4 linked regions of the Schizosaccharomyces pombe genome follow. The main gene of each other region encodes a partner of the protein of the gene in region 3 in a complex. Each region holds a gene or a part of one and is shown on either strand. Other genes may lie near its edges. The genes, in order: mrpl51, mrx14, mrpl38 and mrpl12.

Evidence for each region.
Region 1: mrpl38 (region 3) and mrpl51 share a complex: the UniProt entries of both Schizosaccharomyces pombe proteins name them as parts of the mitochondrial large ribosomal subunit.
Region 2: mrpl38 (region 3) and mrx14 share a complex: the UniProt entries of both Schizosaccharomyces pombe proteins name them as parts of the mitochondrial large ribosomal subunit.
Region 4: mrpl38 (region 3) and mrpl12 share a complex: the UniProt entries of both Schizosaccharomyces pombe proteins name them as parts of the mitochondrial large ribosomal subunit.

Annotation. Positions count from the first base shown.
Region 1 is NC_003423.3:1,695,701-1,703,400, reverse strand, and holds mrpl51 (mitochondrial 54S ribosomal protein mL43), read right to left. Parts: upstream 3,469-7,700; 5' UTR 3,320-3,468; coding exon 3,254-3,319; exon of another isoform or gene 3,163-3,253; coding exon 3,000-3,162; exon of another isoform or gene 2,904-2,999; coding exon 2,695-2,903; 3' UTR 2,529-2,694; downstream 1-2,528. Other genes in the region: phosphoprotein phosphatase Phs1, read left to right, coding at 1-236, 289-365; Sm snRNP core protein Smd3, read right to left, coding at 773-839, 893-1,022, 1,078-1,137, 1,183-1,219; cytosolic thiouridylase subunit Ctu2, read left to right, coding at 1,428-2,528; protein Mdm34, read left to right, coding at 4,308-5,666; SPOM_SPBC19C2.10 (BAR adaptor protein ), read right to left, coding at 6,560-7,477, 7,593-7,700. UniProt on the Schizosaccharomyces pombe protein: Component of the mitochondrial ribosome (mitoribosome), a dedicated translation machinery responsible for the synthesis of mitochondrial genome-encoded proteins, including at least some of the essential transmembrane subunits of the mitochondrial respiratory chain.
Region 2 is NC_003423.3:3,800,990-3,809,021, reverse strand, and holds mrx14 (mitochondrial 54S ribosomal protein bL34m), read left to right. Parts: upstream 1-3,993; 5' UTR 3,994-4,120; coding exon 4,121-4,447; 3' UTR 4,448-4,691; downstream 4,692-8,032. Other genes in the region: trm140 (tRNA (cytosine) methyltransferase), read left to right, coding at 227-357, 415-1,076, 1,131-1,191, 1,239-1,308; SPOM_SPBC21C3.06 (uncharacterized protein), read right to left, coding at 1,564-1,932; U2 snRNP-associated protein Sap62, read right to left, coding at 2,188-2,273, 2,337-2,778, 3,095-3,220; cqd1 (ABC1 kinase family protein ), read right to left, coding at 4,692-6,137, 6,193-6,825; Rpd3L histone deacetylase complex subunit, Sds3-like family protein Dep1, read left to right, coding at 8,016-8,032. UniProt on the Schizosaccharomyces pombe protein: Component of the mitochondrial ribosome (mitoribosome), a dedicated translation machinery responsible for the synthesis of mitochondrial genome-encoded proteins, including at least some of the essential transmembrane subunits of the mitochondrial respiratory chain.
Region 3 is NC_003423.3:3,549,618-3,556,561, reverse strand, and holds mrpl38 (putative mitochondrial ribosomal protein subunit L38), read right to left. Parts: upstream 5,219-6,944; 5' UTR 5,215-5,218; coding exon 5,173-5,214; intron 5,130-5,172; coding exon 5,072-5,129; intron 5,009-5,071; coding exon 4,728-5,008; 3' UTR 4,671-4,727; downstream 1-4,670. Other genes in the region: leucine-rich repeat protein Sog2, read left to right, coding at 1,080-3,740; SPOM_SPBC887.08 (uncharacterized protein), read right to left, coding at 4,012-4,260, 4,319-4,444; sorting nexin Snx3, read left to right, coding at 5,927-6,010, 6,060-6,125, 6,181-6,377, 6,458-6,542; RNA-binding protein Cwf29, read left to right, coding at 6,681-6,685, 6,776-6,944. UniProt on the Schizosaccharomyces pombe protein: Component of the mitochondrial ribosome (mitoribosome), a dedicated translation machinery responsible for the synthesis of mitochondrial genome-encoded proteins, including at least some of the essential transmembrane subunits of the mitochondrial respiratory chain.
Region 4 is NC_003421.2:1,158,010-1,166,477, reverse strand, and holds mrpl12 (mitochondrial 54S ribosomal protein bL12m), read right to left. Parts: upstream 6,023-8,468; 5' UTR 5,969-6,022; coding exon 5,934-5,968; intron 5,885-5,933; coding exon 5,398-5,884; 3' UTR 5,143-5,397; coding exon of another isoform or gene 4,486-5,142; 3' UTR 4,162-4,485; downstream 1-4,161. Other genes in the region: SPOM_SPCC4B3.06C (NADPH-dependent FMN reductase), read right to left, coding at 688-1,290; protein Nro1, read left to right, coding at 2,428-3,609; Lsk1 complex gamma subunit lsg1, read left to right, coding at 4,486-5,142; ipk1 (inositol 1,3,4,5,6-pentakisphosphate (IP5) kinase), read right to left, coding at 6,352-8,261, 8,318-8,330. UniProt on the Schizosaccharomyces pombe protein: Component of the mitochondrial ribosome (mitoribosome), a dedicated translation machinery responsible for the synthesis of mitochondrial genome-encoded proteins, including at least some of the essential transmembrane subunits of the mitochondrial respiratory chain.

The sequences.
Region 1 (7,700 bases), 1.9 Mb from region 3:
TATGATCATCGCTTGGTCCATTACCGAAATAATTCGTTATGCATTTTATGCATTCAACCTGAACGGCGACATCCCTGCTTTCTTAACATGGCTTCGCTATAATACCTTCCTAATCCTCTATCCCATCGGTGCTGGAAGTGAATTTCTTTTAGTATTGAAAAGTAGGATTGCTGCTCAGTACGTCTGGAGTTTGAACAAGCTGCTTTGGCCCATCTTGATGTCTATTTATCCACCTGGTAAGTTGAGTGAAACCCAGCTTTTCTTCCAAAATCTTTATTAACTTTCTAGGTCTTTACATTATGTATACACATATGCTTGCTCAACGTCGAAAGATTTCCAAGCGGGCTGCTGCCAGAAGAACCTAATTTTTTTTTCTAAGCTAAAATAAGTTAGGTTTATTATTCTGTAGTATCGGATATTACATATTATTCAATTTTTTACTTAACTTTTGCATTCGTATAGCATATAAAGATTTATGTTGTAAATATGTATTTTAACAACACAAAATAGTGGTAATAGCATTTGTCACTATAGATAAGTCGAAGGTATCACTCCGATAAACAGCAGCTACATAAACGTACTTCGAAAAGATGTAAAAAGAGCTTATTCACAATATCTCTTACTACTTACAATGCAATGTAGAAACACGTGCGTCCATTAATTTATTGAATATTTAAAAAATCATTACGTTTTTCAACTTTAAAGCAACAGTAGAAATGAATTTTTCATTACTTAAATCACCAAATCTATTATCCTTTTTCATACGGTTCTTTTATCGTCGTCCACGTGTAGGTAAAGGAACACTTCTGCCAGGGCCAACTTTGAACATAGGAGCATTCCTTGTTTAAAAACGTTAAAATTATGATTAAACCAACCACTTAAAAATTCTTACCTAAGCATATCAGGAACGATGAGAAAACGAATGTGTGAACCACGAATGTAAACTTGATCCAAATGAGAAACACGACCATCTCGAGCAGTTACACTGATATCTCTCATTTGACAATTCATATTATCTTCCGCTAATTAGTGTAAGTAAACCATAACAAAATAGAAATCGTTTTAAAATGAATATACCTTCAATTAACTTTCCACGATACGTAGACCCATTTTCCAACTCCATCGTAACGATATGGCCTAAAAATTAGTTTTACTAAAAAAAAATTGGGTAAAAAATCGTACCTTGGGTCTCATGAAGCAACTTAATACACAGAGACATGGTCGATGGTGGTGTACTGTGTGAGTAGCTGGCACTATGAAAAATTCCAGTGTTTAGTTGGTTTGCGCACCACCAACTATTCTTTTTCCATAAAATTGGAATTGAAAGAAGAATAGGTATCTCTTAAACTTATTTATTTATACGGATAATTTTTTTGAAAGTACTTTGTGGACCTTCATTTCGAAAAACAATAGAAAAATCTAAAAAAATGCAGAACACGGCTCTAGACAATTCAGCCGACTCAAAATGTTCCAAATGCGATAATAAGGCAACAGTTCTGACTAAATCAGATGCGGTCTGCGATTCATGCTTTGTCAGAAGAATTGAGAACAAAATTCGTCGGCAATTTGAGCTTGTACGACCCAATTTACAAGGACGCAAATCTAAAAGAGCAATGCTGGCTATTTCCGGTGGTATATCTTCAATGGCAATGCTTGAAACAGCCAATTATTTATCAAAATATCGAGATGATAATTACCGGCCTATGTTTGATGAATTGCTTGCAGTTCATTTTCAGTGGGGAACGGATTCAGCTGTTGCAAAAACGATTGAGGAAAGTATTTCCAAAAATTATCCTAAATGTCCATTCAAAGTTATTGGTGAAGCTGAGTTATTGAACCGTACCATTGCTACAGACTCACGAGGAAATATAGAAATAAACGCAGATAATGAGAAATTTAATCCAGAAGTCATTAGTTCGTTAGCCTCGCGTCAAGATTTACTTTACCGAATTCGGGATAAGCTTTTAGTATCCTATGCCCGGAAGGCAAATTGTGATACCATTGTTTTTGGTGATAGCGGTACTACAATTGCTGCAAGAGTTCTTGAACTTGTGGCAGAGGGTCGAGGTTTTGCGATACCATGGTACACTTCTGTCTGCTCTAAGCTTCCAAATTGCGATACTTTCCTACTACGTCCCCTACGTGAAGTTTTGTCTTCAGACCTCAAGTCGTATATGAACATTAAGGGATTAGCTTTCTGCGATAGCTTAATTGAAGCACGTCCTAATACTATTCATGGCGTTACAGAATCATATTTCTCATCGCTGAATGATACATTCCCAAGTCTGGTTAGCACCGTTGTCAAAATGAGCTCAAAATTGCATGTGCCTTCTACAGAAGCCATATGTACCATCTGTAATCTACCAATGCAAGAAGATGCTGAGACTTGGTTACAAAAAACTACGGTTGAACATCCGGATTCCGTTGAAGGTATTAAGAATCAAAATGTTTGCTATGGCTGTTCTGTTTCTTTAAAAAGCTTAAAAGGGACGTTGCATATTCCTGATATTGAAAAAGAAGGGATTTGATACATCTGTACACTTACTACCTGGTTAACTAGAGTATTTATGGGAAGATAAATTTGGATAGGGTTTTGTATTTCGGACAAAAAGGTTAGACATAATAACATAACGAAAATGATTAAATTGAATTTTCTTTTTTTTGTATGAAATAATAAGTAGTTTGTAGAGGAATCTAAGGGGACTTTTTCTTATAAATTTCATGGGGCTTTGCTTGATCGGAAAATGGACTCCAAATACCACGAACGGATGGGTTTGTTGACTCAACAGGATATTTTATGAGGCGAGGTTTCAAACCATCACTATCTCTGCATAGAATTGCTTTTTGAAATATTGAAGACGCTGACATTTTCCTTGTACAAATGACCTTCTCTCGACCAGTATCTATTATCGTAGCATTAGTAAAAAACACTATTTTAAGGAGTTCATATTTATAAAACTAAGAGGATCACCATAATAAGAGAAAAGTCTTGGACGTACTGTAATAAGCTCGGATTAATGGATGCTTGCCTTGGCGGTTTGTAACATGAAATTCCACATCTTGAGATTCTTTGGCCAAAGACTCAAGCTTTGTGGATAAAAATTCTTTCATGCCTTTTGAGCTTCCACCCCAATTACAATACGAAAACTCAATTCGACGGCACTAAAAAGAAAATTAGTAATACGAAGTTAATGAAGGCCAATCTTTTTTTTTTTTTTTTTTTTAAAAAAAAAGAAAGCTGATTAAATCTTACTGGGCGGGTAAATGAACCTAGTCCATTTTTGGGAATTGAAATTTTAGGAATGATTTCAATCATCATTAAGTGAGTAAAAGGCCGTAAAAAAGGGGATACCGTCTTTTAAAAACCAGAATTCTTAATATGCTATATTGAAAAAAGTTGGGTGAGCAAATCCTTGCAGAAATAATGAAAAGTCGGTATGGAGACGTAAAGGGGTGTGTGGAAATTCGCAAATCCCAAATTGCTCTAAACTTCAATACTTGTTCCAATTGATTTAGAATGTTAAACTTAGTATGCAATTAGTTTTATAAAAAATTTTAGCAACAAAATCAAGTTTACTGTCTACCTACAGTTTCTGGTTACACACTTTGCAATACTTTACCTTTCTGCTCTTCTCTAAATAATGATATCTAGAAAGTTTACAGTGATTTTTTAACGTAGTACATGGACTGCGAACAAACATAATATAGGTTTTTTAAAACGAACAATTTTGATTTAATATCATTCATTTATGCAGAGATATCCTTTTCTGAAAGAGCAAAGTTGTATCGGTTCTTGTACTCGAAGTTCTTCAGCCTAGATATTTGTCAACATAGCAAATTAATACAGTAAGCAACACCACTAATATCATTTCTAAAATAATGGCTGAATTTCTGATTTGAATATCTAAGGAATTTCATTTCATGAAGCTTTATTTATCCCTCCTAAATGAACAGAATAGCAAGAAAATATATTTCACCAGTATAGCATAAGAAACTACTGTGCATTTTGTAATAATTTATTTAATGCATTCTAATACACCTTCGTTCATATACAGTACGATCGACCCTATCCTTATCTTGGCTATATCAAGGTTCAGTATGCCGCACTAGTGCATCAGCCAGCCTATCGATGTTTATTTACTGTCCGCCACTGTATGGAAGTTGTCGTTTCCCTATCCGAATTTAATAAAAATTTTGTAAAGAAATTGATCTAAAGCGTTAGTTACTTAGTCTATACTAGACGGTTCCTTACAAAAAAATTTGACATTTTTCATAGTTGATGTAGATAACTTAGGAAAATCAACAGAATGTCGTTTCGTGTAAAGGGATGGAGTGATCAGTTCTCTGAGTCATTCTATGAGCGAGCAACCACTTTGCTTACGGCTGCTTTAAACAAAGGCACTAAACACTCGATGATTGCAGACCACATCACTGTAAAAGAGTTGGATTTGGGTCCCCAACCTCCTCAACTGGAAATTTTAGAGGTTGGCGACTTAGCGCCAGACCGCTTTCAGGGCCTCTTTAATCTCCATTATTCGGGTGATGCTTCTTTGGTCTTGCAAACAAAAATTCGTGCCAATCCATTATCGGTGCAAAAAAGTAATGTTCCCAGTTTTAGTTCTCGTAATACAATGTTAGCATCTCGTGCACCGCTTACTGTGCCTATGTTTTTACGACTTTCCGACTTAAAGCTTAACGGAATAGTTGTTTTGGTGTTTTCAAAGCAGAAAGGTATCACTGTGGTATTTCGAAACGATCCTTTAGAATCCGTGCGTGTATCTTCCTCCTTTGATTCTATTCCTGCTATTGCTCGCTTTTTACAAAGAGAAATCGAGGTGCAACTGGTCTCCCTGTTTCAGGAAGAACTTCCTTCCATCATATACAAAATGTCAAGAATTTGGTTTGCCAAGTCCGACTCTAATCTATCTTTTCAAAAAATTCCTTTCACTTCTCCTAACCAATCTCATACTTCTCTGGCTAATTATAACCCAGATTTGCTAGATGGTCCTCCCGACTATCATGAATCTACGAAAGTCGACACTCATCTCCCAATTAAAATGGGCCCATTGGATGTCCAAACGCATCCTAACATTCGATCTATTGCTTCTTTAGCCTTATCCAGAAAAGCACTACTTCCTATTTCTTCTCCTTCAATACCTATGTCCATATACCGGTCAACTCCTCCCGATACGATTATACAGCAATTGACTACTCAATCTGATGATATTTCTGCTGTATCTTCCCCTGCAACCCAATATTCCGCATCAGACTATCTTGGTTCAAATGACACCACGGCTAGGCCATCCATTTTTGGTCGTAGTCATGGTACCTCACAATTCCGCCGCCGAGAACGTGTCAAGAAAAGACATGTAATTAAAATTCATGAAGCATCAAACAAGTCTGCTTCCTCTTCCGAAACTTTTGTTGGTTCTAAAAACGTTGACCTTACTGAATCTGCGTTTGATTCCATACCTGATACTCCTACAAAGATTATTACCAACATTAATAAACTTAAAAGGAATTATACCATCACTAACAACTGGTTGGAAAACCTGCAGCAAAAGATTCCGTCCGAGGTTGATAACGGAAAAGTATCTGGCCTTCAGTACAGTGCCTTTAAGTTGCTAATGTTGCAACGTCTCATGGCTGCCAAAGGTTCTTTTTAAGTTAATTTCTGTGAATAACTTTCTCTTTTTTTTTGTTAACCTGCTACTCTTCAAGCATATCTCATGGTTTATTCAGTGAAAATAATTTTTTTTTTTAACGATAGGGTTAGTTCTCTGAATTTCTTTTTACTCCTCAACATTTGGTGTTATTTCCTTTTCCGTGTCAGTTGTTACCCTTTTTATTTAAAACATTAGTATGCTTTTTTCTTACCTGGATATCTTGGTGTTAATTTTATGTTCTCCATTTTAATGAAATAATCACGATTACCATAATTTGAGGCGTTGGAATTTTTTTTTAATAATTAAATAAGCATTTAAATGCTCAACTAGAAAAGTCCTGAGATGTAAGTTAAATCTCATTATCCCGTTTAAAACGGTTACTAGAAAATTTCCATATTTAAGATGTAATCTTCAAATTTACCTGTAATCAATATATAACAAAGAAAACTTAAAAGATTAAAGGATATCTTTGACATTATGATATTCATGAATACATTTTTATATCCACTTTTAAAATAATACTGTTCATACTCTTTCCATCTTATTTAAAAGTATGAAATTTACGGAAACAAAAGTTCGAGATAAATCTTAATTATATTAAAGCATAGGTGCTAACATGATTAACAAGTCTGTTTAAACTAACTTTTAAGGTTAAGATCACTCAATTTTAATGTCATACAGACAAGTATATCGACAGTCGAAATAAAAAATGAAGAGTACCGGGTAACGTGATGCATAAAAATCAGTCGGTATTATGCTAAAAAAATGAAATAATGCAAAAGAAAGGAGCTTCAAAAAATCATTTAAAATGAAATAAAAAAGAATGATTGTAGACACAACAGCCATTAAAATTGGACGGAAAGTAGCAGCAATAGTACTCGGAATAAATGGGACTACTTAAAGCCCTTTTTCAAAAATGCCCGAAATGTTTTGTCCCATGGATGGGCTGGAACACAATAATTTGAAGGAAACATTCCGGTATTTCCAGTAAAAACCCCATCTTCACCCAGTTTCTCCCCAACCCACCAACCTTCATCAATTTCTTTTAAAACTAAAAGAAGATCTCCCTTTTTTAGTTTTAACTCATTTTCTGTTTCTGGCTCAAATGAATATTTCATTCGTACTACCTTTCTGGATGAAATGGAAGCAAGTGGAGATGAATAACTACGATTAAGCTTGCTCGGGGGAGCATCAGAAATGTTGGAAGGTGAAGGGGATACATTACACTGAGACTTCAACTTTTCATCCAATTCTGCCGACGAAGCAGATAATTCCGGTTGTTTAAAACTTAACTGGATATCCTCCTCACTTTGTAACGATGCCGGTTTGACTGGGGTACTTTGAGTCGTAGACAGTTTGGGTTTGGTATGACGGGGGATTGGAGGTGATGAGGGAGTTGTTAAATCTACAGCAGACTGCCCCAATGAATTTTGAGCATCCGAAACATCCTTGTTATAATTATCTTCAGTATGCTGTGTTCTATTTGAAGAAGCTATGGAAGAATTGTCCAGGTCAGCTTCTGTATGGTAAGAAGGGAGTGTATTGGTGGGAGAATGATATTCATTTGAAGAACTATCGGCCTTTAAAGTATCATCCATTTCAAAAATGGTATTCGAGGGCGTTGTTGCAACATTTGTTGAAGAAATATTCGATGGAATAGATCTTGCGGAATAAGTACGCTTTGGAATATTAACGTTATCCCTCTTCTTGGAAAATCCGTTCATCTCAAGTCCCTTTAACAAATCGAGACTTTTTTGATGAAATCGTATTTGCATCTGTAGGAGTCGTACAACGTTTTCGACACGATCAGGCTAAAAATTAGTTAACAAAAATATTGAGTCATATAAGATAAGTTAGGCAGGCCTAATAATCGTTTAATTATGGCATCAAATTGGTAACGAATGTCATTAGGACGATAATACTTACCTCTAATTCTTTCAATTGAACCATTCTGTCTTCAAACTCTTCCAGAGACTCCTCGTATTTTGCGCGAGCATTCCGTAAATCTTCTTCAAGCTTTGACTCTTCTTTTTT
Region 2 (8,032 bases), 250 kb from region 3:
GCTTTATTTGCCGTACTGCATGTAATGTATAGTTGTTGAAGTTAAAATTCATATTACCACAAGTTCGAAACCACTTTTGTAAGCTAAACTAAGAGTAACGTTTGATTAACTTTGGCATTCTGTTTTACATTTAATCCTCACATCATTTGCATATGAAACGTTTTCATCAACAACCAGTACCTAGTAGAAACCACTGCAAGTGGAATTAAAGAATTATTGGTCATAGATGGATACAACACCAGATAATTCTGAGAAGAAAAAAACTTCTTCTGTAAGAGAAGCAACTTTTTCAATTAATGAATCATTTGGGGGTCGTCTGCTCACAGAAGAAGAAGATGTTTTCGAGCAAAATGCGTGGTAATACTAAACAAGTTCATATGAATTGCATAGTACTAATTTACTTTAATTGTTCAGGGATCATGTAGAATGGGATGATGAGCATTTAGCATTGGCCAAAAAATGTATAGAGGAACAAAAACTATATCCTGTAACCGAAAAGGATGCTTATATGACACATCCTGAAAGGTACTGGGACCAATTTTATGGAAAAAACGAAGGAAAATTTTTCATGAATAGAAGATGGATTGCGCAAGAGTTCCCAGAGCTTCTTGACTTGCTAAAAGAAGATGCAGGAGAAAAATCAATTTTAGAAATTGGATGCGGTGCTGGAAACACTATCTGGCCAATTTTGAAGGAAAACAAAAACTCAAATCTTAAAATATTTGCTGTTGATTATTCAGAAAAGGCCATTGATGTTGTTAAACAGAACCCATTATACGATGCCAAGTTTTGCAGTGCTTCGGTTTGGGATCTGGCAGGATCAGACTTACTAAGATCCATTGAAGAAGCGTCTATTGATGCGATTACACTCATTTTCTGTTTTTCAGCATTGTCCCCCGATCAATGGCAACAAGCTATAGAAAACTTGTATCGATTATTAAAGCCTGGAGGATTAATTTTATTTCGTGACTATGGTCGTTTAGATTTGACGCAGCTAAGAGCTAAAAAGAACAGAATTTTAAGTGAAAATTTTTACATAAGAGGTGATGGTACAAGAGTGTATTACATGACAAACGGTAAAGTCAACGAAAACTATTATTAGTCCTTAATGATTACTAACTTTGCAATAGAAGAACTAGTGGATGTTTTTGGAAAAAATTTCAAAATTATTCAAAATGGAGTTGACAAAAGGTAAATTTTCAAACGGCTTTGCGAATCTGAACTAATCTCCATACTAGGCTTATTGTAAACCGAAAAAAAAGAGTCAAGATGTACCGTTGCTGGCTACAAGCCAAGTTTCAAAAATGACAAATTACTCATTCTTAAGTAATTTTCCCAAAGCTCATGGACTCAGGAATTTGGAGGCTTATGTTCATTGCCTGCAATGAAGCCATATACAATCATTTATGATAAACGCATAGCTTTTTGTGACTTTTATAAAGGGATTCCCATTAATTTATAGAATATTCATATAACGGTATCATGACTTGACTGAAAGAGGGAAGCCGTGTACATTTTAAAAAGTGTAAAATAAACACGTAATTACTTTTTATAGTATACAATTTAAGTGATACTAATTTTGTGATTAGGAAAGCTGGTAATGTCATCCTTAACTGGCTTTGCTCTTGCAAAACTAAGCTTTTCTCGAGCATAAAGACCAAATTCTTTTATATTTTCAACACCAATTGTTCGCATTATCAAACAGGAAGCGAAGGTAAAGGTTGAAACAGTTAATACTGATGTAAATGAAAACAATTTCCAAGTAATCAAAGTTGGATGCACCATTTTCTCAACAACTGGGTTTGGAGAAAAAAAATTAGGCCGTTTTAATATTGTCCGTTGTAGAACCCATGTAGACCAAAGGAAAGTTGAGCTAGATATCGCAAAAATCGCGTCCACTGTAGCGACATTTGCTAATTTATCGAACGCCATACAGTAGAAGTTAGCCAACTTTATCAATTGGTACTTCCACAAATCTGGGAAAATAAGTATATAAATCACCAAAATAGGTTTAGCTAGCACGGTTCTTCTACAATTCACGTGTGGAGAAACAATTCAGAATGATTGAGTTCGAATTCTTTTACACACATAAAGAACTGCGGTATTGATAAATTGGGAGACTGAGCGAAATATTTGGAAAAGACATTTTGTTTCATAAAAAGGAAATTTAGGATAGCAGCTCAAAATTTACGATATTTTTGTTAAGTTGTAAAAGAATTGGATAGTATATGTAGGTGCATCCCAATAACTCCAAAATTTCCCGGGTGCACGATCTATTTCGTGAGCATCTGCGCAACAAAGTTAATATAAATAAAAAATCAGTAAAACCAACATACCAATTTTAAAGGCTATTGATTCGTATGGTTCAGCAGCCACTACCAGATACTGAAACTTTCGGTCAGGAGCTTCAACACGCTGTTCATAAGCACTCATAATTCTGTATCTTGGCTTAGCGTTCACTTCAATATCTGGATACTTTATTTGGAAACGTAGGCCAAATTTTCCGCTTTCGGCTTCTCTTATTTTGGACACTTTATAACCGGGTCGACCAATTTTTACGACACTTTTTTTAACCTGGACATGGGATTGAGAAATGCCCAACAACACTTGTGGTGCATTCTCTTGAGACTTTTTATTTTCGAGAGCCTGTCTCCTGGCTAAATTTGTCTGGTGTTTTTTACCTTGTGTATGGGTAAGGTAAGAGTTTTCATTCGCATGTGTAGTGAGGCAAAGACGACATTCAAAAGTGCCTAAATGATTTTTCATCAAATATGGATCCTATAAGAGATTAGCAATAGAAATATCATCGCAAAGAGTTTGAGGAGGAAGCTTCAAGGTGATTGACAGGGTAAAAAAAAGATGTCCAATTAGTGTAACATGCAAAACAGCAAACAAGGAAGTAGAAAGCAAATCCTTTTCATTTATTATTGTTGTTATTTTAGTTGTTATAGTTAGCGAATTTAACAGCAACTACTAATAAACTTCAATAATATGTAACATACGTACATGTCTTACTTTACACGATTAATTCATCGGTAATTATAATTGACATTCAGCACTCAAATTTTCAGAATTCAGTGGTTTTTAAACATACCTTTGATAAATCAATGGTTTCTAGCGCCAATTTACGAAGACGCTCTCTACGTGCAGCATTTGTTTCTTGATAGCCAGCAACGCCTCCTCCTCCAAAACGAACACCTGCGCGGTTTTGATAATCCATTTTTTAGTTCCTAGAAAATCCAACACTTATTTTTCTGTACTTTCACAATGACAATAAAGTCCCCTAAAAGACGGTGGCAGAGGCTGTACTTTCGTGAACCCCTATGTTTAAAGAAATATCGCAATGCAGAACAATACGCTAAATTCTCATCGTCGATGCCTTTTTTTTAACAAATATTTTAAATAGCAGATTAGAGCTCCTTTTCTCCATTTTATTATGTCACGTAAAAACAAAAAAAAATAATAACTTTTGATAAATTTAATGTATTGATGCTCCCATATATGAGTATATTTAATATGCTTTCAATATTTAAAAAGCCGGGACTGCAGCAATTTGCTTCCAATTTAAAATACTGGGTATTATTAATAAAATAAAATAGATAAAAGAAAGTATAAGATGTCATTTAACTGCTAAAACCTTTTTTGTACTATAAATTATCACTTTTAGCCCATGAATCGAATTCATTAAACTGATGGATTTTACTATTTGGTAATCTCATGCCAATTATTTGTTGGGAAAAAGCAAAAGCGATATCAAATTTTAGGGGTTCAGGTTGCTTTCTTTAAGGGCGTATAAAGAATGGTTAATGAACTATTTATTAATAATAATAGTATTATTATTATATTACCGACATTCCAGTGAATTGAATGAAACTATTAAAACGTAGTTATTGGATTTTAGCAAAGATTTTAATTTATTGTAACACAAATATTTGAAATTTAACACTTCGAATGTCAAACGGTGCTACACTGATTCACTTCAACCTTTCTAATAACCAGCTACTCCATCACATCTCAAATCTCTTCATTTTGCACATTTACGTTCATATATAATTTTTATATTATTTTTTGAAATTTTTTCTCTTGAAATCCAGTCACCTGCTTTCATTCCTATTGCTTTATGATGTTTATGCAACAATTTCGAAATTTGTTGCATCCTGCCATGAAGGGAGCCAGGAATATTTCAATATTAGCTGGAGGAGGAACTATGAGAGGGTTTCCGACAAGAAACCCTTTTAATACCGCTACTTTATACAGTTCTTTACCGACTATGAACATCTTCGGTCAAATGCAGCAAGTGCGTTGGAAAACGTATGGAAACGAGTATCAACCCTCAAATAGAAAGCGTAAAAGAAAACACGGATTTTTATCTCGAATTCGTTCTGTTAACGGTCGTCGTGTTTTACGAGATCGAAGACAAAAAGGGAGGATGTATCTGAGCCATTGAGTACATATTATCTTTTAATGGGCTCTAATTTGCATTAGTAACCTCTATCAATTCTTCATTTAAGTAATGCTTTCTAGTTTGTGATACATTTTCTTTCCATTGGTTCTTTGTTTAATTTTACTTGTTGAACTTTGAACTTTAATAACTTCTTTAAAACACGAGTTTATAAAATTTATTTTCCATGTCTGCGACTATATTTTTCATGAACAATTTTCCATCATTTATAAAATAAACCGTAATTTTTTTATATATTGGGTGCGATCATATCGGACTTAACCCACTTTTCTACCGTTTCTTTAGAGGTGCTTAAAAGCAAAAATTGTCTAGCTTCTAAAGCTATCCATAATTGAACCATTGGGTTTGTGAGTGAGACATTGGATTTCGATGAAGCAGAACGAAGATATGGTGTAGCATTACTTAATAGATCCATTTCTGGATATAGTTGGCGTCCAGCGCCTTCAACTAAAAGGATAGATAGCACAGTATTTGCGAAATTTGCTTCAATTCGAACATGATGCTCTCTCGCCATAGTCATTACTTCTTGTAATATAGTTCCTATTTGAAGTGATTTCAGTGAAAGCGTGCTCTTTTGAATTTCATTCAACAAATGTTCCATTTTAAGAGCAAATATGTCTTTGTTTATAACGCGTTCTGTCTGCCTGCTCCTTTCAACCATCAACAGTCCAGCCTCATAGCCATGGAAAGTAAGTACGGCTTGAAACAGATCCAAAAAATTTTTCTGATCCTGCGTACTAAGTTTCGTTACTAATCCAGCATCCAAAAATACTAAAGTCGGTCGATAGCCCAAGATGTTTAATTCTTCCATAGCAGAATCCCATTCCTCCGTCGAACATGTACTTAGAATTTTATAAATTGAGTCATTAATCTCATTATCTTGATTAAAGATTGTTTTAGGGATTCCTTTGTAAAATTTAACAAGGACATTACCCGGATGAAGATCAGCATGTGTAAAGTTGTCAACAATAAGCATTTGAAATAATGCATTATTTCCTGTGTTAGCTAACAACTTGTTAAATGGTCCTGACTTATGTTTGAGGAACGCGCTTAATGGGATACCCGGCATATAGTCTTCTAGTAGGATTTGATTAGTCGTGTAATCATCATAGGGAGCTGGAAATTCAACATATCTATTTCCTCTAAAGTTAAGACGGAACTGGTTGAGATGAAGCGCCTCATAATGTAAATTCAATTGCTGGTTTAACATTGCCCCAAATACCTTAACTTCGTCGGGCAGAGAAAGCCACTTCATTGAAGGTACCAAATTAATTAATTTTGCGAAGAAACCTAAGATTTGTAAGTCTAAAGAAATGTATTTTTCAACATTCGGGTGCAAAACTTTAATGGCTACATCTTGAGTCACTGGCGCATCAGAGATATTTTTCTGTCGAAACCCTATAGATTGTAGCATACTTGTAAAGTAGGAATTATCTTGCTGCGTAGCTGCTTTCTTGATGGTAGCCGTATAGACTTGAGCAATTGCTCCAACACCTATAGGTATTGGGTTAAAATTAACAAAAATTTCCTCGATAGATTCCACTTTATAAGTCTTGCAGATGACTGATTGAGTATAGGCAAGGCTGTGGGGCGTTACATGTGAATGTAATTTGGACAGTGTTTTACAGAAAGCAGGAGGAAACAAATCTGTCCGTGAAGCAGCCCATTGTCCCAACTGCAAAATAAAAAAATAATGTTAGTAACATGATAAGCGTAAATTCAAAACGTACCTTGATAAACGTTGCTCCTGCTCTTTCTAATTGAGTAACGAGGAAACGAAGCCAAATGGATACGGTTAAAGACGACAAAGATCGAAGATGCAGGAAAGAAATAAGAGCGATAAACGGTAAGGTAATAATAATTGGAGAGAAAATAATAAATAAATTAAATGACCTGAGGAGAATATTAAAAAATTGTTTTATTTTTCCAAAAATAGAACGAGGTCGATTGCTTCTCTCTTCTAATTCAAGTTCGTCAAAGGAGAAAATATTATTCTTTCGATTTTTGACTCTGTATAAAATCCATAATCCTCCGACCGTAAAAGGGAGGACAAGAAATGTAATCCTTAGTATCCTCCATTGCTTCTGGTCTTCACTTTTTTGTCGGGTTGTAAACTTTCTTGCAAATATAGGTTTGGGGAATAAAGATATATGCTTCAATCGATTAACCAGTACGTGCTTTTTTTTGTATGGTGACCAAACTGACTGTGTCCCGCATAACCTTTTCCATCTTGTGTTCTGCGAGTTAACGACAGGAATATAATTTCTTTGAATAATGAAAGCAAAACGAGAGTTTGCAGAAGGAATCATGCTTAGACTAAGTCCCGAACGTATGTGAGAATTCCAGTGAGAAAAACTAATCATGTTCACCAATTATTGACTTTCAGAAGAGCATTTCCTTATCAAGAATCAAAAAAATAAATAAACTAATTACAATGGGTATTTTCGATTGAAAACACTGGCAAACCTGATAAAGAAAATAGGAATTGTTCAATAAATGTGTATAGCAGCTACTAAAAGAGGTGTTTCAAAGAATTTAGGAAACCCTGTCAACCTTTAATATCTTGAAAATAAAGAATGCACCAGTTCAAAAATATTGCTCAAATTTACGTGTCACTAGTGTCTATTGGTGTCAACGTCGAATGACGCTGTCTACTTGTGACTGGGAGAAAGAAAAATAATAATTGTTAGCCAAAATGAAGACTGTAATAATAATCAATTCTTTCATTTTATAAATAAAATATTGACTAATTAATGCTCAGTTCCTATTTGGATTCTATAGAATTGAACTTACAGTATGATAAACTGGATATGATCATCTAGTACGTGAAGAAACATTTTTTTATTCATTATTACCAATAAAATGTAATTTATCAAAATTTCAAAGTTCTAATTGAAGGGAAGATTATTAAAATATAAAAAATGACTGATTATAGGAATCACATTTTTTTTCCTTATACACCTATAATCGGTAATATTCAAATAAGTTAAATAATCAGTTCATGGTAGTATTCTGCTGCCAAAGAGAGATAATTGTAAAATCGCTAGCAGTTGATAAAATAAAGTATAAATTGAAATTAAAATGGAATTGTTTGTACTGAATTAAAAAGCTTTACCATCATTACTTCAATTGCCGTTAACTCAGAGACTAGCATAGAGTTTATCTATAGAGACTCTTTGATTGATTTAATAAAAAGCCTTTGATCGACGATGGTTCATTCGCCAAGTTTCATTGATGAGTAACAGTTGACTGAGAATATTTCACCTAACCCATTCTTGATAAAAGTATAAATTGGAAGTGCTAATTTAGAACAAATTATTAAGTTCTTGGCTCAAAATTTTGAGATGTCCCTACAGGATGTGTAAAAGTTGAGTATGAATATTATTACTGATGCCCAGCTATCAAATGTCATCCTCTCCCCAACACTACCAATTCATTCGAAAACATACATATTGAATGAAAACACACGAAAATCAACGATACTGTTTTTTAGATTCTGACATTTGTAAATTACGAGAGGGTATTTTGAACGAAGTTGAAGAATTAATTCAGGATGACCGAAAATTTGCA
Region 3 (6,944 bases):
GATAGTAACCCATTTAGTCATAGAAAAAAAAACCGTGTTTGATTATATGTACAATTTATCAACTCATTTATTTTTATCAGGTTCTTAAATCATAATGATAAACCTAGGCGATTCTATTAGGAAGCAATATATTAAGGACTAATAAAATAAACAATAAATATTAATGATTAGGAAATCAAACGCACCAAGATAATCAAATTGATAAACAAACTATAGATAAATGACAGAAATATTGAATCAACAAAATTGCAACTCATTCAAAAAGTTATCAATTTACACTTAAAGAATTATTTACCACAAAACATACTGTAGCGTTAGCATTTGTTGCTCCTGTTAATAACGACTTCTGATCTCGATGAACTCAAAAAGTTCGAACCAACATAATATAGCGAGTGCTTTTGATCATTCAAGAATTAGAAATGAATGCTAACAATACTACATTACAATTACGAATTACTATATGTCACATGTTCTGATTACCTATCGTCTTACAAATGATAACAATACGATGTAGATCCACTAATAAATTTTTTAATTTATTAGCTAGAAATGATAGATGTAAAATCAAAGGAACAACGTTCTTTAGTTCAGCTGTGGTGGTTTGTTTAGAGATAAATTACATTACCGCCTTCATACAAGGATATCCGTAACCCCCGTTATCATACAACCATATGTACCGCTATGTAGTGCACATACGAAAATCAAGTAGTCTAACATATCATTAATGATAATTACGAACTGCATAGCTAAAAAAAATAAAACGCAATATCAAACTTAACGAAAATATTTTGTGTAAACGTTAATAAACTGTAATTATTTTAAGGAAAAGTGCTTATTCACGTTGTTAAAATAAAAAAGTACAACCTACAGATGCGTACACAGAAAGAAGTGAGTTTATTCGTTCCGCGAACTAGCTTGGCAGTAAATTTTGGGGAATTGACTTTTGTACATTATAGCATACCATTGTGGATCAATTTTATGTTCATTGCATTTTTTTAGTAATTATTACTTCTTAGAGTTCCTTTTTTTTTCAACAAAACCTTCGGATTTACGTCTGAGGTGATCGATCTTTTCATGCTATGTCTGCTCATGAGGTGTCCTCCACAAAAAACTCAGAAATTGAAAGAATTATTAAAGAGGCAGAAGATGCGGGTCCTGAAAATGCACTTACGTTAGATCTATCTCATCTAAACTTGCGGGAATTACCTTATGAACAATTGGAAAGAATCCAGGGTCGGATAGCGAGACTAGCGCTAGGCCATAACTTTATAAAGAGTATTGGTCCTGAAATCCTAAAGTTTACTCGTCTCCGGTACCTAAATATTAGATCGAATGTCCTTAGAGAGTTTCCCGAATCTTTGTGTCGACTTGAGTCACTTGAAATTTTAGACATTTCTCGCAATAAAATCAAGCAACTGCCAGAATCCTTTGGAGCTTTAATGAACCTTAAAGTTCTTTCAATTTCTAAAAATCGTCTTTTTGAGCTTCCCACCTACATTGCACATATGCCGAATCTTGAAATTCTTAAAATTGAAAACAATCACATTGTGTTTCCTCCTCCGCATATCGCTAATAATGACTTGCAAGATTCTGATATGCAGTTGTTTATTGCCAATATAAAGGGATATTTGTCGCGAAACGAATCAGTCTTTAGAACGCGAAGTGAAAGTACTGTTTCCGCTGCTTTATCCGCTTCAGCTAATCTTAGTCACTCGGAAGAAAATGACTCCTCTGTGGTTGATTCTTACTTATTTAGTGCCCCATCAGATACTAGCCATGCGGTTTCACCTGGCATGCTGACGTTTGTCACGCCAAGTCCCCATTCACATTCTCCTGCCGGGCATCAACAGTCCACACCCAAATCGACTTTGTCAAAGACAAATGAGAACTCAGAAGGAACATTGTATGATTCAAATGTTGCTCATGGATGCACTCATCCTCCATCACTTAATCAATTAAACAAATTTCATCTAGATGCGTCGCCTAGACAAGCCCGTCCTCGTAGGTCAGTTTCTTTAGCTACTGGCCTCAATTCTCCTTCTGTTTCAAAACCACCTTCTTCTGCTACAGGACCATTGTACCATTCACCCCAAAGCTCACTCACCAATTCCTCCGTCGCTAGTGCAGACGTTCAAGAACGTACTCACAATACTAACGGCGCTAGCCCCATTCAAGACCAAATTTCAGAATTCACTGATCAACATCAAAATCCCTCAAATAATGATGCTGCTTCCACACAATCGATTCTAAAAACAGCTCCAACGCAGTTGAGTGCGAGTGCTAAAACATCAGCCATAAGTTTACCTGAGGTTGCCAAGAAAGAGCGTAATAGAAGCAATAGTACAAATGATGATTACTCTTCTACTAGACTTCCATCGAGTGTTTTACATCGTCTTGAAGCCCTTAAAGAAGCGCGCAAACTTTCTGAGCAATTACCAAATCGAATTTTTGCTCAAGATCCTCATCCTTCCCCTCGTTTGAAAAAAGAAGAAACGCATGAAAATGGCTCCAATTTGACAAATGACTCGGTCAACAGCTACTTCAGTAACATTGGAGGGAGTGAGGTTGAAATGAAGCACTCGGCCTTTGAAAAAACTTTAGAGTCGTCTAGGGGCATATTGTTTTCGCTTTCGCAAGTCCAACAAGCCCTTCGTCAGCAACTTCTTTTTTGCAGCAACCCCGTTGTTTTAGATTCTATGCGTCATGTGTTACATACTGCCAATGTTCAAATTAAGCGGCTAATTCTGTGCTTTGAGGATACCCAACAAAGCAATGATGGAACTGCAAACATTAATTCCATAGTAAACGCTTCATTGTCTTGTATCAGCTCGTTTCGTAAACTAATTGAAGTGACAAAAAAATTTTTAAATGAGCTCACTAGTCGTGCGGATGTCCGATATGTTCGGCTTTTACTGCTAATTCTTTTCGATGCTGCAAAGGAGTTACAAAACGCCTTGGTACCATTGAGTCCATCACAACCCCATAGTGGTAATAACATATTCGCCGATCAGGTACGTCAATCTCCGACAAGTATGATCCGGACTGCATCTGGGCTTACGAACAGAATCGTTAGCGTTGAAAAACCAGCATCAGTGATGAATCCTGAAATTGATAAACAAATACAAGATCAGGTCGCTTTAGCAACAAACAGTGCAATGTCAGTTTTGACATTACTAATTGATGCTGTTCCTAAAAATAACCAGCCTGATCTAGTAAATGAAAACATCGCACCCAATTTGATTAGTAAGTTACGTGAATTGGGATCATTATCCGCCGCCGCCTGTGATGTTACTAGAAAACTTAAGCATCGCCTTCTAACTTTTCAAACGAATCCGGAAGAATTGGAATGGCAGCTTTTTTTGGACGACACTCAAGCATTTGTCAAGTCTATTATTGCAGTCGCAAATTTAGCGAAAGCGTTATCCAGTGAATATACATTCCAAAAAAGCGTATTAGCTGGTCTTTCAGCTGCAACAAGATCTACAAAAGATCTTACTATCTTACTTTCTTCCTCTGCTCGACATTACACTGAGTCATCTTTAGCCACTCCTGTTCCTTTGATGTCCCCAATAGCCCGCGTACCTGCAACACCGTTGTCAGCGGCTCTGGGTTCGGCTGCTCAATCTATTACATCTCCTCTAATCATGTCACCAGCTGCAATTCCGGCGTCAGCCTATAGTACTAATAAAATCGATTACTTTACTGACGCGGATGGGAACGTGGAAGGTTTACAGCGCTAAAGAATTTTTTAATGAAGATTGATGAGGAATAATTGGTAACTCGATAACTCAAAAGCCTACAAAGACTATAAATTTAATGATACAAAAAATGATGCACGATTGAATTTGATTAATTTATTTCTTATTCAAATAACAAAACCAAGGACAAATTGTAAAGGATGATGGTACAAGTAGTGATTAATCTGTTTCCACATGAAAATCATGTACAAAAATTAGACAGAGTGTGTAGTTTTGGGTAGGTACTCTTTGACAAGACAAAAATTTTTTCTAATTAATTGCTTTGCTTATTTTCAAGTTTCATTTCGCATCTTCTGATGATGTCTTCAATTTCATTGATTTCGCCTGAACTCAGTCTGTGGTACTCAATGCTGGAACTATCAGTTGGAACATCAAGTGCTTGAAATGCAAACTTTTTAGCTAAGGAATAGTTTCCCAGATAATATTGTTCTTCCGCTGCAAATTTTGATTGCTCTAAAATATAGGCTTCTTCACCGAGGACGACGCCATTTTTACTAAGATGCTGAATAATCTGTTAAAATCATAGACAATAAATTGGGAGTAAAAAATGAGTAACATACACCAAAACATTGAACTCTTGGAGTCCATCCATCAGTTTCAATGCTTACTTTCTGTTTTAATCGCTTATTCCGTTCAAGCTTTGACTCACTAACATCAAAATCCAAATCAATCGCCAGCAAATCCATTCTTACTAGAACATTAAATTCTTTTGATCGATCAGATATATTTAACAGATAATGGACTATATAATAAAGCCTGCTACAGCTGTATTTTACTAAAAAAGTGTGTAGTAAAAACCTTTTAACCCCACAATGCTTACGAGTAACAAAACTCCAAAAAAGCAAAATCTTAATTGGCTATCAGGTAAAAAGTGTTTGCTGAAGAGACAAGGTCCCTTAATTAGACGTAGAATAGAAAATTAAAAAATATATTTTAATTAAGTGAAATATTAACATTACAATACCCTTTTCAGATGGTTCGTGGAGCAAGAGATGCTATTTTAGTATGATGTTTTGTTCTGAGCTCGTTGGCAACGACTGACAAGATACGGGTTCCCAGAGGCTCACACTCCTTATTAACCAAGACGCAGGCATTATCATCAAAACGAACATAACGACCATCGGGTCTTCGAACTGGTGATTTCGTCCGAACAATGATAGCATGGTGGATATCACCGCGTTTAACTTTATTAGCAGCAGTAACTGATGAACCGCTTCGTGCCTTTTTTACCACTACTACCACTTCATCACCTGTTTTTTAAAAAAAGGTGATGTTAGTCGAATATAAACAAAAGATCACTTCGTGCTACTTACCAAGTGAAGCGAATTTTCCCGCGCGAACTACACGAATGCACTCAGCTAAGGTAGCACCCTTTTCCATCTTATTAGTACAAATAGTAATATTTTAAACTTACGGAATTGTCGATAACTTTGAGTATACCTTTAAGTCCGATCATTGCTAAAGATTCAAGTACTTGACCATACATTCACGTACTCGCTTCCACTATAAATTACACTATGCGTAATATTAGAATTTGGTATTTGACGTTAGTTGGCATATCGTAGTATGTAACACATCGCAAAATATATAAATAAAAACAACTGTTTGTATTAAAAAAAAAGCGATTTGATTAGATGCATTCAAATATGAAATTATTCCAAGCAAATTGTTTGTCATAACCTGTTATCTTGCTTTAACCTTCTGATGTTTTGCTTGTTACACATGTTTTAATCAAATTCTTCATCATGCATGGAGTTGTGGAATAGTCATTAAAGCAAAAATGTGATATTGACTAGCAATTGCTCTTATCATATTAAAATATCATAATGGATTGTATGCTACATATTTGATTTTGTATTACTCGTTAATTTTGTTGAAAGTGAGAGGAGGATTTGGACGTTAGTGAATCCATTTTATTTTTTGGAAGCAAATGAACTATCATTCTCATCTTTAGACGACGCAGTTTGAAAAAATGCTCTGCGATATGTTTACAGTAAACGCCTTACTAATTTGCGATCCGATTATGAATCTCATTAGCCGTACCCGTATCTGAGCTAGACACTACACCTTGTATCGAAACTTTTAAACTTCTTCAAAATTTCAACTATTACTTGTTAAACAGTAAAATAATATTGGATATCGCTCTTAAGAGTAATAAGGGTAAATAAATGGATAAATTAAGTAGACCGGAAATCAGGCAGCAAACTACTCAACAAATGTATGATGTTCCTGAAAACATCCTTGAAATTGATGTATGTTTACTTTATTATTTCGAAATATTTCTAATAGATGTTATTTTAGGTTATAAATCCACAAACTCACGGTATTGGAAGAAACATGTTTACTACTTATGAAATTGTTTGTCGGGTAGGTACCACTGAAATTCATCTTCTGATAGCAGATTATTAACTCATTTTTGTAGACCAATATGCCCTATTTTCGTCTACATAATTCTAGCGTTCGTCGACGTTACAGCGAATTCGAGAAATTTCACGATATGCTTGAAAGAGAGTCCGGTCGTGTTTCAATTCCACCACTTCCAGGAAAGATATTCACTCAAAGATTTAGAGATGATGTTATCGAAGAACGTAGACAAGGTTTGGAAAATTTTTTACGACTGTAAGTATTGAATGTTAATTTTGCCTTATTGCCCCAAAGAGCGTTTTAAATTGCACAAAAACTAATACATTATTATGTAGAGTTGCTGGACATCCTCTTATTCAAACCCATTCTCGTGTTTTATCTTCTTTTTTACAAAGCCCGGAATTCAAGCCTACGCCATAAACCCGCCGCTAACTTGTTTTTCTCCATTTTGCCCTCCAACTGTTAATTTTTGTCAATCTTTTTTTTTATTTTAAAAGAAAAATTTGGAAATCAATCTGTTACAAAGTTTAATTACCATTTAAAATACCTTAGGTTGTTATGAAGTAAGTTTTCTATTGAGGCTAAAATATAGCAAAAATCCGATTCATCTTTTCGCTGTTTTCGTTTTTTAATTTTAAAATTAACAAAAGTAGCTCCATTCGTCAAATTGAGCGTTTAAACGAGCAAGAGTTGGATAAACCTTTTAGCAGTTCTTGGCACCAAGATTATAGTGATAGTGCATATATTTACATCGGCAACTTAGATTTTGATTTGAACGAAGATGATATTTTATGTGTGTTTTCTGAGTTTGGCGAGCCAGTG
Region 4 (8,468 bases), on a different chromosome or scaffold from region 3:
GAGATCGTATCACCATGTAAGAAAATAGGGAACCACAAAAGATTTGGCAGAATTAGCAGTAAATTCTACATTTTCTCTAGTCAAATCTAGTTAATTTGTTTAGATATTTCATAGTCTCGTGTATTGAGCCGTTGTCTTGAAAACTAAAATCCCTTCAAAGTATACCTAAAACCGATAGTATTGTAGACTGGTATAAGGTTCAGAGGCCTGACTACCCGAGACCATATCATAATGCTTATAATGCATATTATTCATAACGACTACATGTGTGTACATATTTTCTTGACATGTTAACAGTCAAAACAAAGCAGTTTTTCAAGTAGTAATTATGTCCTTTTTCTTATAAACGAAAAACACGAATAGCTTCACTGAAATTGTATTAAAATATAATTTTAAAGGGAACTTTTACTGCTGAACAAATTCGTATTACACAATGACTGAATATGAACCGTGTTTACTAATACATGCGTGCTAAAAATCCTTCATTAGGCAACACGAACAGCAGGAAGGATTAAGGTATTAGAGTCCATTGGTAAGTTGATATGACAGTAATAGATCTATCCATGTGAATAAAATCTAAAACCAAACAGATTTACTGGAAAATTGGCTTTTTAAAAAAAAACAAAAAACAGACTTTATTAAATGCACTCTATACTAGCTTTCAAAATACTCTTATGTTTTAATTATCTAGGGTTTCCTTTCAGGATTGCTTTCAAACAACTGAGAAAACTCACCGAAGGCTTTCTTAAGTTCACCAAGGTGCTTTGTAAATTCAACCGCTGGGTCGACTACACCTTGAACAATTTTATCTCTGGGTAACGTGAGCGCTGGCATGGTAGGCGCGACTCGCATCTTAAGAAAACCGGCAACATGTTTTAGTTGCGAAGCACAATCTCCTCCTCCATGGCCACCATAGCTTACAATCAAAAGCGGTTTTCCATTCCACTCGTGATACAAGTGGTCTAAGGCATTTTTAAGGATTGCAGGATATCCACCATTGTATTGCGGAGTTACAAAAACAAAACCATCTGCTCCAGCAATTTTGGACCCCCAGGCCTTAGTATGTTCCTGAGTGTACACATCTATTCCCATAATTGGAAGTCCGGGTTCATCGCTCATAGATAGAGGCCAATCAGTTAAATCAACTTTTTCGTAGTCAAAATTAGTCTCTCTTTTTCCCATCTCACCAACCCACGTTGCAATAGTTGGACATAAGCGTTTGCTGCGAACGCTTCCCATAATAACCAGGATTTTGGGAGTAATCTTCAGTAATTTTTCAGGCAAGGTCATGATGTTAATAATGTAAATGAATATCTGAGTATTCTTTTACTGTGTGAAACAATGTAGTGCTTTTATAAACTAGCATGTTGTTATGTCCGAGCCTCGGACATGACTAATTGTTCAAGATAACTTAGTAATATTAAAAAAATTAGAAATTCTGTCATCAAATGGTAAAAAAGGCTTTATTTTGTTTTATAATTGGCTAACAAACTTTCAATTTCATCTAGTACATTCATCCTAAGTACTTATTACTTCGGCACCTGAATCAAGTAATTTATTGATATGGCGACCGAAATATATATACTAGTGCTGTATTTTTAAGGTGCTGGAGCAATCTTGGTCCATTACCATAAAGCAGCCGTTTAAAAAAATTAAAATAAACAAACTCGTTGATCAGATATCGTTCAAAAACTAAGAAACGAATTCAAATTCCCTGCCAAAGAAACGGTCAAAACCACATAAAAGTTGCGATTTCGTATTATATTATTGTTTAATAAAGATTAGCGTTACATTACAAAACTGCCAAATCTTCAATGTTATCTCGTGCTGGCAATTTTGTATAGCACCTTTTTGCGCCATAAGCCCTAAGAAATATTGCCGCATTTTGAATATCATAGATCTCCTTTACAGAAACCTATCTTAATCAATTTACTAAGTTAAATTTCGGCTAGATATGTTTACTTCAATTGCTCTAGATCCGCTGAAGTCATAAAGCTTTACTTTCTTCCATCTCCTTTTTAATTTTGCTCTTTTTTTTTAACAATGAAAATCCAAAACGTGTTAATGTATCTTGCTGCATAATTAGATGTTTAAAATAAGCTTCCCCTTCACAATTTAAAATCATCAATTTTTGTAAACAAGTCAATATGTACGACTGTATTACGAGCCTCTATACTTTCCACTAATACATTTTAACATGTCAAGTTCTCCAAGCTTCTGGTAACTCGTTTTCCACAGCCACAAAACGACGGTATTGTTTTTGTTACGCCATGCTCTTATTAGGTTTAACGCACATGGCCGACAACGCAACAACAATACCACATTACGTTGTAACTTGCTAACAAGTTTCCCGCGCGATTTTTGGGTAGAAAAAATCACTCGATGTCAACGCTGCCTTAGCAAAACAGGTTAATTTAACGGTTCGTTATGATTGGAAGAAGACCTCAAGGTCTACGCGCTGCTGCTTCTTTAAAGAAGCAGCAGCAGCTTGAAAAACAAAAGCAAGAAGCCTCTTATGAGCTGTCAGGAAACTCGTCTCCTAGTAAGGAAAACGGAAGCGAAAATGTCGACAATGGAGAAATGGAGGATGAGACAATGCTTGTTTACACAGAGGAAGACAATATTTCACAACTTTGGGGTTTATACGAGATGAGTCGCGAAAAGTTGGAAAATGACGATATAGATGCTAGTGTGAGCCTTGTCTTTGGTACCATTCACGAGGCTGATAGAATATTACGGAATACCGAGGACATTTCTACATTACCCAAGGACTTTCACGCGGCCTATTCCTCCGCTCTTTTGGCTGTGTCCGAGCTTTTCGAAATTGCACAAAAGCGTCTTAAGGAAACCAATACCGAAGAATCCTACATAGATGCTGCAATCGAGAGAGCTCAACTTGGCTTGGATGCTCCTGGCAACGAATCGAGACTTTTCCTTGCTCTTGCTCGTGCTTACCTTGAGAAGGTACGTGTTCTTGTTTGGCGTCACGATAACGAGGAATCTCTTGCCAACATCCCGGTCACTCAGTTGGTAAACCCATATATTGAGAAGGCCATCCAATACCTTCGTCCTCTTGCTCAGGATTCCACTGAATATTTTGATGCTCTTACCCCCGATTCTTTACGCCCATTATACATTCTCTCTTCCTACCTCTTTCAATTCGGTGATCAATTCTCTGAAGCTTTTCTCCTTGATGTCTGTTCAATTATAACTGCATTGTGGTTAAAATCTGTTGTCGATCCCAACACTCCTGCCTATTATAAGTTAATCGCTCAAGAGGCTGTTCTAAATAATTATACTACCTTCGCGGAATATTATATGGATTTGCTCGACAACAGTGAAAGTAATGTAGATGACCTAATCAACAAGGCTTCCAGCTGGCTCAACAATTCTGTCGATACCTGGAATGTTATTTATACTCTGGATAAATCTCCTGAACGCTTGTTAAAACTTGCGGATATAAAGATGGATCTGGCTCAAATTGTTCAAGACGAGGCTAGTCAGGATAATTACTTGAAGGAAGCTTGCAATGCTATCAAGGAGGCTCAAGGATCAGGTGTTGAGTTAAGTCCTGATTATGTTGAGTTTGTAGAAGCTTATTCTGCTTAGGATCGCTTTTACTTGCAACTTGACGGGTGTATTTCCATTATATCATTATCCCGTTGTTATATTTTTCTCCTTGAACAATACATCCTGCATTTTTTTTCTCTTTTCGAGAGTATTTTTCTCCATTATATTTACTTTTTAGGCAAACCTTATAAGTTTGTCGCTGGCCATTTTAGATTTCAAAGCAGTTCTTTATTGAAAGGAAATGTTGATTTTGTATGTACGACTTAGTAGAGCGTATAAAAAAATAAAAATTGTTTACTGATTCATGGGTTTCATTTTACCATATAAGTAAGGTCGGTTTTTGTGCTTTTATTAAAGTATAGTAGTTATTCTTTCCCGCTATTTATACTCAGAGATCCTAACAGTTTGGTGAATGGTTATAACTTTATCAGGGCTATATAAAAATATCTTTGAAAATTTACTATTTCGCTGTTGAAATTACTAAAAAAGTAGTATTTAATAAAATGAGATTTTAGTTTCTTTAAAGGTACAGTAATAGTGTTTGAAATAAAGTAACATGCTACTTAAAGCAACAGATTTTGCAACATGCTAACAGTTTGAAGACCTCTTAATATTACTTATGCACTGAGTATATTTTAATTTATTTGAATCTGGAAAGGTTCAACGTCCTTTCGCAAAATAGTATCCCAACGCTTTTTTTAGTCTCAAATTTCAGAGATTGCAGCTTCAAGAATAGATGAACACTTGGCAAAGGAAGTTTATTCTATATTTGAAATTTAAGACAACACACATTATTATTATTTAAAAAATTATTCTTGATGTTTTTGGAATTCAAAGTTCACGAAGTATAAGAAAAACCATCATAACAAAAATCGTTGTTGCACTCGCAATTACCAATATACTTGCAATAATAAAATGGATCCATTTGAGGGCCGCATGACATTTCTACAGCTTTTGGGAAAATTGAATGCATCGCAATTCTCTCAAATTAAACCCGCGCAATTTGCAATTAAGCATCTAGACTTGGAAGAAGACTTATATTCATGTATATGGGAGGAACTAGAGTCAGGTTCGTTCAATACAAGAGTGAATATCATGTACTTTGTGGACACACTCTGTGAGATGTGCTTAAAAAATGGCCTTACAGGTGGATATCTTAATATGATTAGTAGAGATATCTGTAAGCTAGTCCAGAACGTAGCTCCTATAGGAGCTGCTGGAGCTGCTAACGCTCCAGAGGTTAGAAAAGTACTCCAGTCTTTGCATGAAAAGAAGGTAATCGATGATAATCAATATAAAGATGCTATGGCTACGGTAGAAGCCCATGAACAAGCGAGCAAGTCAGGTGATACCAGTACTTCAGGAGCCATTTCAAAAAACGACATTCTTAAGAGGATTGAAGAAGACAGAGAGCGACACAAAAGAATGCGTGAAAACATTTGGGCTATTTCAGAACCAGAGTTAGAAGCGGAAATTGCATGGAACACTACCCAAGGAATTACTGAAAGCGATTTGGAATCCCTAAAGGATGAATACGAAAAGTTTAATGAATGTCTTCATGCAACTTCCTGAACCGAAGAGCGAAAACATAGAGTGTAACCCAAATAGAATAAAAACATATAATTAACTAATAATTTTGGAGTATTTTATACATTACCTAATATCTGGTTTTTTTAGAGATGATGAATTTTCCCTCCGTAGCTTAGTTTTTATGGGAATCCAAGAAAGTAAATCGTGTCACAATGTCAAAGCAATAACAAAAAGGTTGCCCAAAGAATTTGAATGGCGGAAAAGCATAGAAATGAAATTTTTTATAAACAACCCAGTTTATTCGAGGACTACTTTACAAGAAAGTTTCTCTAACTTCGATTTTATAGCTTCAGCATCCTCTTTCAAAATATTTTCTTTCAAAACCTTTGGAGCACTTTCAACGAATTTCTTTGCGTCCACAAGAGATAATCCCAAAAGAGACTTCACCTCTTTGATCACCTTGGCTTTCGAACCAGCATCAAACGATTCGAGTTTCAAATTCCAGGTGGTTTTTTCCTCTTTCTTTTCCTCAGGAGCTTTCTCTTCAGAAGGAGCGGCTGAAGCTACTGCTGGAGCCACTGCTGCCATCGGAGCTATTTCAGCAATGTTTAACTTCTCCTTTAATTGCTTTACAAGTTCAGACGTCTCTAACAATGATAGAGAGCTTATTTTGTCAACCATTTCCCCAATTTGGGCATTATTGTTTTGTACAGATGCGGCAGCTCGAAATGATCGCGTGTTTACCAACGATCTTGCCCAGTTCTTACTGGAAGATAAAGCACGTCTTTTAAAGTTAGTATAAATTTGTTAATTAAAAATAATTACAATCTTACAGATTTCTTGTTTGGCGTGATGCGATGCGAAACATGCTGTATTTTAAAATTATACTTGAGGTGAAGTAAGGTGCAAGTGAGATGGGGGTTGGCAAGTTAAGTATAGTAACTACAACTTTTAGGTGATCATTCATCAAATATCTAAAATATGTTCAATGGATCTTATTAATTTTTCATTAGTAATAATTAGAAAATAAACTAACCTCGTAGTAAAAAATGCTCTAGAATTATTAAGTGTTCAACAGTTAGTTGAAGAGAACAAATAAATCTAACCCTTTATTTTTATGCTTTTATCTCCCTGTTAATTATCAGGCATATAACAAATAAAACAAAAATGCATAATGTATTGAAATATTGCAATAAATCCACAAATTGATGGTGGTATTACATATTAGAAAAAAAATTAACAATGAGATAATTACTTTATGCTGCTCCGGCATGCTTTGTCAGTAGACTTCATCCCACGACCATAGTACCAACCGCCTTCAATCAAATTCCTTTCATCACGTTCCCATTTAGACATTTTGGTATTCATGTCTTTAGGATCTAAATCTAGTAATGTTATGTGATCTTTACCAATGTATAAAGTCACATCTCGAAGGGTCATCGCTAACGCAACATCAGTACGAGAGTATTGCTCTTGTAGGTCACGAAGCTTCCGTAGTATACCAGACTGAAACAATCTCATTGCGATATCAGGACTCACAAATCCTTGAAGACAGCACAAAAACTTGGGCCAATTGTTGAAATCAAGCTGTAGAGGACAAAAACCAACGGGTCTACCACGCATACGGCTAAGGGCACACGTTCGACAAACAACCCAGTCAGGTGGAGCGGCAGGGGACTGAGTCAACCATTTTGGTTTCATTTCAATTCCATCTTTGAGATCTTTCATTACCAAACAGTATTGCTCATTTAAATTTAAATAAATACCAGAAGCATTTTGGGCCGCCAGCAAAAAATCCCTAGTAACTGGCTGCAAAAAAACCTCAATTAAAAAGCTTTCCATTCCAGCAAACAAAGGATAAATTACATTTTGATAGTATTCATAAACTTGTTCTGTAGTAAAAACCTGTCCTCGACGTCGAAGACGAATTACCTTGTCTTGAAAGTAAGGATTTTTACCAACATACTCAAACACCACATTCGCACTTCCTGAGGCAAGGTATGCCCATTCAGAAATCACCAGGGATTTACCGGTGGAGGAATGATTGGAGATAACGGATGTTGGTGAATAAGGTGCAGGGGATTTAAAAAGCGGATTCGATATAATTGGAACTTGAAAATTACTACTAGCAACCGATTCATCTTGGGACTCTACACCAGAAGAAAGGGCTTTCATGGATGGAGGACGCGACATAATTGGAGTTGAAGGAGTATGTGTGTCAACGGGAGAATTTGTAACAGAAGAGCTAGCGGTACTAGCCATAGGCGAAAGGCTTACCTGAGACGCTGAAGTATGCAAATTCTGAGCGATGAGAGAATTCATGGCATCAATTTTTCCAGCTTCCCACTCTCTATTTGATAAAACATCACCAGATTTTGGAAGTTCTACGGGAGGACGGTTGTTGTTTACGGCAATTAAGGAAATGCTTTCAGCAGCCTGGCAAACTGAGGAAAACTCAACGAGCCACGTTTGGGGAATATCGTCTTGAAAACAATCCCAAGGGCGAACAATGTTGTGCATTTTTCGAAACATTTGAAGTTGCAAGCAGTAAAAATGCTTCATAAGTTGTCCAAAAAAAACACGACTTTTTGCAATAAGAGTTGGGAAGGACAAAGTTAAATGCTTCTGAAGGTCATCCAATTCACCATTGACACGGACAAGCTGGCTTTGTAATGCTTTAATTTTACTTTTTTTGGTTTCAGGATCAGGCAATTCGTAAACAACCAATAATTCTTTTTGAATTTTTTCAAGTTCTTTTACTTTTTTATCTCTTCTTTTAATCATTTCAACTGCCTTCTTTACATAGCCTTTGACCTCCTTGCAAGGAGCAATAACTATGACATGGAAATTTTGCAGGGCAAGCAAGACTTCACGACGTTGACGTTCCAAGGCCTTGTTCCAATCGACCAATGTTCCGACAGAAGCAGCAGGTTGTTTTTCAGGAGGTAACTGTCTGTACAAAGAAATCCAAGAGGCAGTGACGGAGGGAGCTATACAAACCATGCATCTCCAAGCATCATAGAAGAGTCGAGAGTTATCGATTGTAGAACGAATCGCTTTATCTAATTTGTGGATCTGATCACTCCACTGCTCAATTTGTTGATCAGAAGCAGCAATATCTAATTGTTTAGGTTCTTTTTTAGACGTAGTCTTTGTATAATCTTTTGTAAATTAAATTAGCACACTATACAAATTCAAAGGAAGTAAGAAGACATACTTTTTAGAGGCATTTCAAATTAATAGAATAAATAGGATGCAAAAAAGAAAAGAAGAAGGGTAGAAAATGAGAATAGACCAAAATTCTGAACGAAATAGTTGTAAGAGAAGGAAAATATAACCAACTGGCTGATGAGTAAGTAAGTAAATGT